Linked DNA regions of Daphnia pulex. The protein of the gene in region 1 binds, or shares a complex with, the protein of each later gene. Links are inferred from orthologs where the notes say so. Each region holds a gene or a part of one and is shown on either strand. Other genes may lie near its edges.

Region 1 (3,396 bases):
TTGAATGCTGCATGCTGCCTTATGATCTTCCTGCATTACTTGGTGATACTCATCAGAAGAATATGTGGAATGAGGTTTAGAGAACTTTGCATTTTAACATTCCTCTTATTAGTTTTGAAACTTAACTTGCCAAGAATTTAAATATGTTAAATAGAAAACTAAGAATGCAACATTTAGTTAGAAGCATTATGATGCTGTATTTCTTTAGATTGTCAACAGGTTAATGCAAATATGGGAAGAGAATAATCTTCAGTGATGAAAATAAAAATTACATCAGATCAGCCAATTGGTAACAAACAGCTTCCATGTTTTGATTGATCTTGTCTTGAACCACAGCCAATTCTTTCTTCAAGTGATGCACTTCACGCATGAGAATGTCATTTTCAGCATCCTCAATATGTTGCATGTCTTGCAACTCTTGTTTAGCCAATTGCAATCGAGCCATCTAAACAGAAAATCAACAAGTTTAATAAATCTTTAAATCTTAATCTTTAATAATTTTTTACCAGTTCCAGCTGCCTTTTCTCATAATCCTGCACTTTGATAACATGCAATGTCAGTTCAGGCTGCATGTTTCTCAATTGGCACTCAATTTTAATTATTTCTTCTGAGATTCGCTTAAAGTCTTGAGTTATGTCTTGAACAAGTGTACGAAACTGGATAAAGTCATAATTTGGTCCAGTGCTCAGATAAATCTTATGCCCTCTGGAAAGAAACAATACATGCAAAAATTACCTCATGTGAAATTTTTTAAATAACATTGTAACTCACTCATGAAAAATCTTGTAGGTGTGGACCCTTTCCTCTTGCAATTGCTGGAATTTCCTCAAAAGGCCATAAGCTGTGACTCCATCCATGTTGAGAATTATAATTTTACTAACGTGTAACGAACAAAACGGAATGAACGATCTAGGTAAAGAAAAGATACGAATTGTATTGTATATTTAAAAGGAAATAAGCCTAGGTTATACAAATAATTACCTTTGGAGAAACAGAGTTCTTATTATCACGGTTGCGAAGGTAGGTTTTCTATCCTCGTAACATCACGACTTGTGGTTCCAGAATAAAGAGGACGACTATATTTTAAGGGTGACGACCCGGTCCTTTCATCAACGCCCCTAGGGTCAATTCTGAGACAGACAAAAAAAGGGCTGGGTTACTGGGTTGGAAAAGCTGAGTCTGGCCTTTAAAAAACCCTCTACAATACACTAGGGAGTATGAGATAAGGATTTTTTAAAAAACAGCCTCTGCCTTCAGCCAGTTTTCTGACTTTTCTTGAGACTATTGAAGGACGCCGAACTCGAATTCGAAAGTTGAATTCGACCTCTGGCTAGATAGATATTTTTTGATAACATGAATAATAAAATATACATCAACAGTTTGATACTATTACCAGACGGAAATTGAAAAAAATTGTGATTAAACTCACCATTAAATCACACGAGGCGGACACAAAACTATCTACCCTAGCAACTGCCACTGAGTCTAAACCTCGTGTGACTTTTTGACTTTTGAAAGCGTGCTCTCGCCAACTTGGCCAATTCAAGTCCTCGGGCAAAAATATTTGCATAGAGGAGCATCTAGTTATATCTTTTGGGTACAGGTGGCGCTGGTGTTTCGTTATGCTTTTTCGCTGCTGTGTTTACTCTGTCAATTGTCATTTTTGGCATCCAACATTTGCCTGAATAATTTATTAATATCTATAATTACTACGATATATCGGATTCGACCAAGGTCAGTCTAGTCGGATACGGAGATTTTACAAGCGATGACCTCATACTAACGAGTAAAAAGGGTAAAAGTTTTTGACAAAAAATGTCGGAATCATTCACCATCCAAGTGGCCGATTCTCTTCGGAGATTTGAGCCGAATTCTCCAAGATCTTCTCCAAGAGGAAATCGAAGCCCAGTTGTTCCCAGGCAACAAGATTCCACTGGAACACTGAAAACCACCATATCACTTGGAAAGACCCCAACAATTGTTCATACCGGACCATTTTATCTTCACAAGGAACTGCCAGGTATACATATTTTACGTGACTGTATCATTCTTTCACTCAAGGTAAATCTATCGCAGGAGATACTGACCTAACCGGAGCAACAAATTTAATGGCTCACTACAATTTGGAACATTCATACAACAAATTCAGTGGCAAAAAGTTCAAAGATTCGCTATCTTCATTCTTACCTGGATTACCCGGCATGATTGATACTCCTGGTAACACAGACAATTCATCCTTAAGATCCATCATTGAAAAACCTCCAATCGGTGGCAAGGAGTTGGTATTCTTGAATTCCTCTCAACTTGCAGGATTCCGTCTTCATCCAGGACCAGTAAGAGACTTTTAGACAGCAAATCACATAATTGTTATTTTAATTTTCACATCTTTATTTCATAGTTGCCTGAGCAGTATCAAACCTCTTCCCTGGCCCCACTGAAGAAAAAACAGAAACACAAGAAACACAAAAAGAGTAGCGAGATCTCAATTCAAGAAACTGGAGCTGGAATCGCTGGACCGGGCATTGGAGTAGTAGGAGAGGGAGGAGCCGGTTCGGGCGGTGAATCCTACGAAAAAAAGCATAAGAAACAAAAGCGACACGAAGATGAGAAAGATCGCAAGAAGAAGAAGAAGGAGAAGAAGAAAAAGAAACAGAAGCACAGTCCAGAACACCCAGGAGCATCAGCCTCAATCGGTACTACAAATTCAAACAGTAACCCACCTGGAATGATGCCCTTACTTTGAGAAACCTTCTTGTCACGTCGATTTATTTCGAATTTTTTCTGCTTCTTTCGAGAGTATAAATAAAATTCCATTCAATGAGTGAATTTTGGTTTATTATTATTCATTCTTTCAAATATTTTCTTCTAAATCGGAGTTTGAAAGCTATAGCGTTGGCTTGCCCGAAAACAATGATAAGCACGTCACGATAGCTACACGCAAGTCACAATCGCTCAAATGATATGATCAATAGGGTAAAACAACTTTATATTCATTAATTACAAATACTAACAGTGAATGTTCGAACGCAAATTTGTCAACTGCTGTTGGTTCAAATTTCTTGATGAACCGTACCATGACTAGATAATTATTATTGCGACGACTCGTACGACAAAACGAACGAGTAATCATTTAAGTACAACAACTAAAAGTAACAAGCGAATCAAGTGATGTCCGGTGTGTGTTGCTTGGTCGATTGATGATGAGCTTTCAAGTCGGCTCAACCTTTTTACGCTGTTCGCTTCCGGCGGCCACGTAAGAAAACACGCAGAGAACAGCGTAACAAATCTGATCCGCCTGTTTTGTTTAAAAGAACAAAAAAAGGTTGATTAATATAATAACAAATGATTCAACAGAAGACACAGCAAAAGAAAAATAAATAAATAAAAAGCAGGTCA
Region 2 (4,494 bases), on another chromosome or scaffold:
CCATCTATTGGTGAAATCGATCAACAGGAAAATTGATCGAATTTTTCCCAAATGTCTCACTAAACCAAAACCCAAAGAAAAAGAATTTTAAAAAGAAAATAAACGATAAAAAAAGGCAACAATCTAACCAGCTCACACACGGAGAGTTAATCCGTCTGCCACCCAAGATGGGCATTGGACGGTATATAGCCTTAAAGTAGTAGTATGGATTTCTCTCGCGCTAGACTATGTATATAGAGTAGCTAGATTATATAGGGCTCCATCCTACTATACTATATATATATACCCAACGGCGGTACAAAATTGCAACTCCGGCGACTATATAGGAACTTGTATAATCGGATCAGGAATTTTTTCTTCATTCCCTTTTTTATTTTATTTTTTCACCTTGCGGGGGTCAGCGCGTTTCGCTTTTCCTTTTAACACACCGCGCCACCAGTTTCACTTTGAGACTCGACCGGAATAAGAAATGAATTGGTAATCAAATTTTTTTTTTCTAGAAGATTCCGGATGCTGCTGAGGCACGCCAGCGAGCAACTGGCAGATTTTTTGTTTTACAGTACTCTCCCCCCTCTCTTGACTGGATGGTTTCCTATTTCTTTTTCGAAACAAATAAATTTCAAAAAAAAAAATCCCTTTTGACTTTTTCTTTCCTCCTGTTCTCACCATTTGCGAGAAGGATCAGTTAGTACGCAAGCCCGGTTCCCCCCCCCCCCACTCCTCTTTTTTTACACATGCACATATATCCTTGAGGGATGGATCAATGGTTTCCTAGCAACCCTAGTCGTTCGCTGAACCGAGTGCACCAACTTCCTAGATATAAACTCTCTCCATACATGTATGTATGGGGGGGTGGGGGTGGGACTATTTTGTAGATAAGCGACGACGGGGGGGGGGACAGACATGAACGAGATTTTGTTATTCCGCTCATAATACACACGACGACGACGGACATTCACACAGATAGGCGCCGCCGGTTTCTAGTCTAGATCCCATTATGTATGCGGTGGAATCGGTTGACCTCATCTTTGCGCGCGGGAGTGTGTCGAGCGCACATAATACCCCATCGTAATACCCGCGAGCGGGTTTATTAAACGCCGAGTATCACACTATCAACAGAAATAATTTCGAATGTTATCCGCACACGAACGTCAGCGGTTTTGTGACTACATATGTTCAAACTCGCACATTCAGCGGTACAAGAGAGAGAGCTCCGTGGGTATATTTGCATGTTGTGTAACAATTTAAGAGTAAAAGAGAGAGTTATGGGCCTGTCGTCAAAGAAACCCCAAGATAAATGTTGAGCAGCTACTTTTATTTAGACATATAGCTCGAGACGGGCCACACACTCTATAACGGCTCACTTGTAGTATAGTGTTCATCCGGTTCCCACCCACTTTTTCTTACAAATGCTCGACGCGAGGTTTTTCTCACTTCAGAACTGTCGTACGTGAATATTGGATGATATTTCTCACCCGTTTTTTTTTTTTTTGTTTTTGTCAAGGGGAGGAGTGTGAATGCTTCAAGGTTTCACAGCTCTTGTTTGTGTTCCCGTTTTCCGACTTTTCCCCAATCTATTTTTAAATAGTAAAAATCAAGAAAAAGGAAAATCGATTGATCGATTGTTAAGGAGCATATCGATACTTATATCGAAGCCGGTCTTTCTGACAGGCACGAAAAGCAGTTTGTTTTGAAACAAACGTGACTTTCTTTTTCATCTTTTTGTTTTGTAATTAAGTATAGGAATAGAATATAAACATTCAGGTGTAATTTCGGGGAGTCGACTGTGTGTGGAATTTACCTAGTTGACCCTGTAACAACATCATGGGTGTCATAGTGTGAGTAAAGCATTCAGTGTCTCTCAGCTTTATCACATTTCATTCAAATGAAGGAACCATTAATTGAATCACAAGTTTGTATGAAATAATTACTAATTTGATGTTGTTTTTCAATTTTAGTTTACAACTGTTTGCTGTTCCTGAAGGCAAGTCCGGTCCTCAGGTTATTGAAATGTTGACCAAACGGGCCATTGCTCTGGGAGCTGTTCTTAGTGGATCCTTCATCGTGGATTGTGAAACTTACAGTTCTACTGCATCATTGGGTAAAAAACACAATCTTCTATTACATTTTTCCCGATTCAAGTCCATGGTGGTAAACAAGTTGTGACAGCAGACCCATCTGCTGCTCACTTTACCAGCTCCAAGTCCACCGTTGGAACTGTTCAGCTTTCCCATAACCAGATGGCACCACCCATCTCTACATTTGAATAACTCAAATGTGGAGGGCACCGAGTTCTTTTGATTTTAACCATCCGCTCGACACGTAACACACGAGATATCCGAATCCTCTAAACACCTTTTACGAGCAAAACACACTACCTGACTTGTAAATTTCCTCCCCTTCCATTCCCACATATGGATGTCTCTACCTCTTTTATTTTTTCCTCCCAAACTCTTTGCTTAGTTTTCTTTATTCCCTTTTTGCTATTCCAACTTTTATTTAAGGACCGTGTCGAGTGAAGCTAGCTTTTTTTTCCCCCTAAAACGATTCGTTCTGCCGGGTAATTCAGGTAGGCCGTCCTACGTGCGCTAGTGACAAGCTGTCAACATATATACTTGCCCGTCCTTGGCTCTTTGACTCACGGACGCCTCTGGGACCGATGACATACGGTCCATTCAATTCGTGAAAAAAAACAAATTTGTTTTTTTCTTTTTATTAATTTTTTTGTTTTGAATTTCGTATTTCGATTCCGCATTGTTCTACTGCCATTCCGCGACGTTGAATCTGCCCGTCTGCTGCCGCCGCCGCCGCCTTATTGTCTCTTAAGTCTGTTAAGGCTGAGCGTTGATACAGTTGGCGTCTTTTGTTTCATCGATCCGTAGCCTCTCTCGACTCTCTTTCTCTTCTCTCTCTCTCGTCTAACTCGGCAATTCGATGTCAAGCGTATTTGATACGCCACAGGGCCATCAGCTGACTTGTGTGCACCACTTGGCAAAAAGAACGACCGAGAATAGCTCTGTCTCGACATGTTTACATTTAAATAGCTTCATCCCCTCTCTCTCCACTTCATTCCTTTTTTTCACAATTAGTTTCCATTTTCGCACACATTTCAAGCGACTGGAAATCAAAAGGGGTGGAGCCAGCAGATACACACGACACATTCTTGAAATGTTTTAATAAGTTACAAGGGAAAAAGGAGTAGTAGAGATATATATGCGACGAAGCCTCCTCCTTCTTCTTGTTAGAAAACCCCCCTCCCGGAGCGCATCTGAAGAGGAGGGAACCGTTCCCCCCAAACTTTCTTGTTGTCGTCAATCTTGGGCGTGATTCGTGTCGTCACGGAAATAGAGAGGGGGGCCGGCCAGTTTCGGACCGAAAATAATAAAAAAAAATGTTGAAAAAGGAACAAATAGTCGCAATATCTTTTCCCGTCTCCAACAGAAGACCATAGCGCGAGCACACTCCTCTCTTCTTTTTTGCCGATTTCGCCGATTTTCTGTTGTTTTCCGGCGTTCCCCCCACTTGGTATCCTCTCTACATCTGGCCGTCAGTCTGTGCCGTTCATCTGTGAAATTGAATCTCTCCGCACCCCCGTACGAGTTTTCTCAGCTGACACCTACACAGGACGGGCCAACTTGGCGAGTTTTTGGGAAGTAGGAGAATCTATCAGTGAAAGAAACGCGGACATTTTCATCTTTTTATTTTTTTCTCTTTTTCTTCCAAAACGATCAAGTTGGAATGATGAAATCTGAGCTTGTGGGAGCCCCCTCTGGACTTTAACCAAATGTTTTTTAATGACCCTTTAAAAAGACGCGGAGAAAAGAGAGTCTTAAAAAACGTTTTCTCTTTTTGAAGTTGTCCAACTTCATTTTCTCCTGTGTGTTTTATTATTTGTGATCTTTCAATCGTTAAGGGCTCGTGTGTATAAAACATTTTCCCCCGTTCTTTTTTCTTTCTGATTTTACCCCGGGTGTATAACCACACCTTCCTACAGGGGGGTGAAAGCCGTTTGTTTCGTATGATAAAAATAAAAAAAAAAAAAAGAACTAGGAAGGCAGGTAAATTATTACCTTTGGTTAACCTTTCCTCTGTGCTACGGTAGGGGGGCGAGAGAAAGAAGATCTCGTCGAGAAATCTCCCCGTCCGTCCGTCCGAAATGAAGACATTCCGATCGGGGGATGGCGCAAAAGAGAAGGAAAGAGAGAAAATATTTTTATATCAGGTGAAAGAGGAGGAGGTTATACATGAAGTAGAAGAAGAAGAAAAGAAGCGTCCATAAGTTGATTGGAATGCGTTGAATAATTCACGAGCTGGATTGATTTGGTTTAACACAGAAAAGGGCAGCAGCAGCAGCCACCACACCAGGAAATAAAAGAAGATGTATCCTATTACCGGGGGGGATGATGTGAGCCTGATGGAATATCACCAAGTTCCTTGTAAAAGAAGAAGAAGAAGAAGAAGTGAGCGAGAAAGCACATTGGGTTGGTTGCCCTT

What was found.
Region 2: mediator of RNA polymerase II transcription subunit 19-like (region 1) and mediator of RNA polymerase II transcription subunit 20-like share a complex: the UniProt entries of both Drosophila melanogaster proteins name them as parts of the mediator complex. The link is inferred for Daphnia pulex from reciprocal best matches to the Drosophila melanogaster genes MED19 and MED20.

Annotation. Positions count from the first base shown.
Region 1 is NC_060023.1:10,280,041-10,283,436, forward strand, and holds mediator of RNA polymerase II transcription subunit 19-like, read left to right. Parts: upstream 1-1,598; 5' UTR 1,599-1,815; coding exon 1,816-2,020; intron 2,021-2,061; coding exon 2,062-2,333; intron 2,334-2,398; coding exon 2,399-2,743; 3' UTR 2,744-2,826; downstream 2,827-3,396. Other genes in the region: GTP:AMP phosphotransferase AK3, mitochondrial-like, read left to right, coding at 1-4; required for excision 1-B domain-containing protein-like, read right to left, coding at 269-445, 507-705, 772-857; MAP kinase-activating death domain protein-like, read right to left, coding at 3,209-3,295. UniProt on the Drosophila melanogaster protein: Component of the Mediator complex, a coactivator involved in the regulated transcription of nearly all RNA polymerase II-dependent genes.
Region 2 is NC_060026.1:11,663,783-11,668,276, reverse strand, and holds the start of mediator of RNA polymerase II transcription subunit 20-like, read left to right. Parts: upstream 1-1,641; 5' UTR 1,642-1,824; coding exon 1,825-1,838; intron 1,839-1,958; coding exon 1,959-2,101; intron 2,102-4,494. UniProt on the Drosophila melanogaster protein: Component of the Mediator complex, a coactivator involved in the regulated transcription of nearly all RNA polymerase II-dependent genes.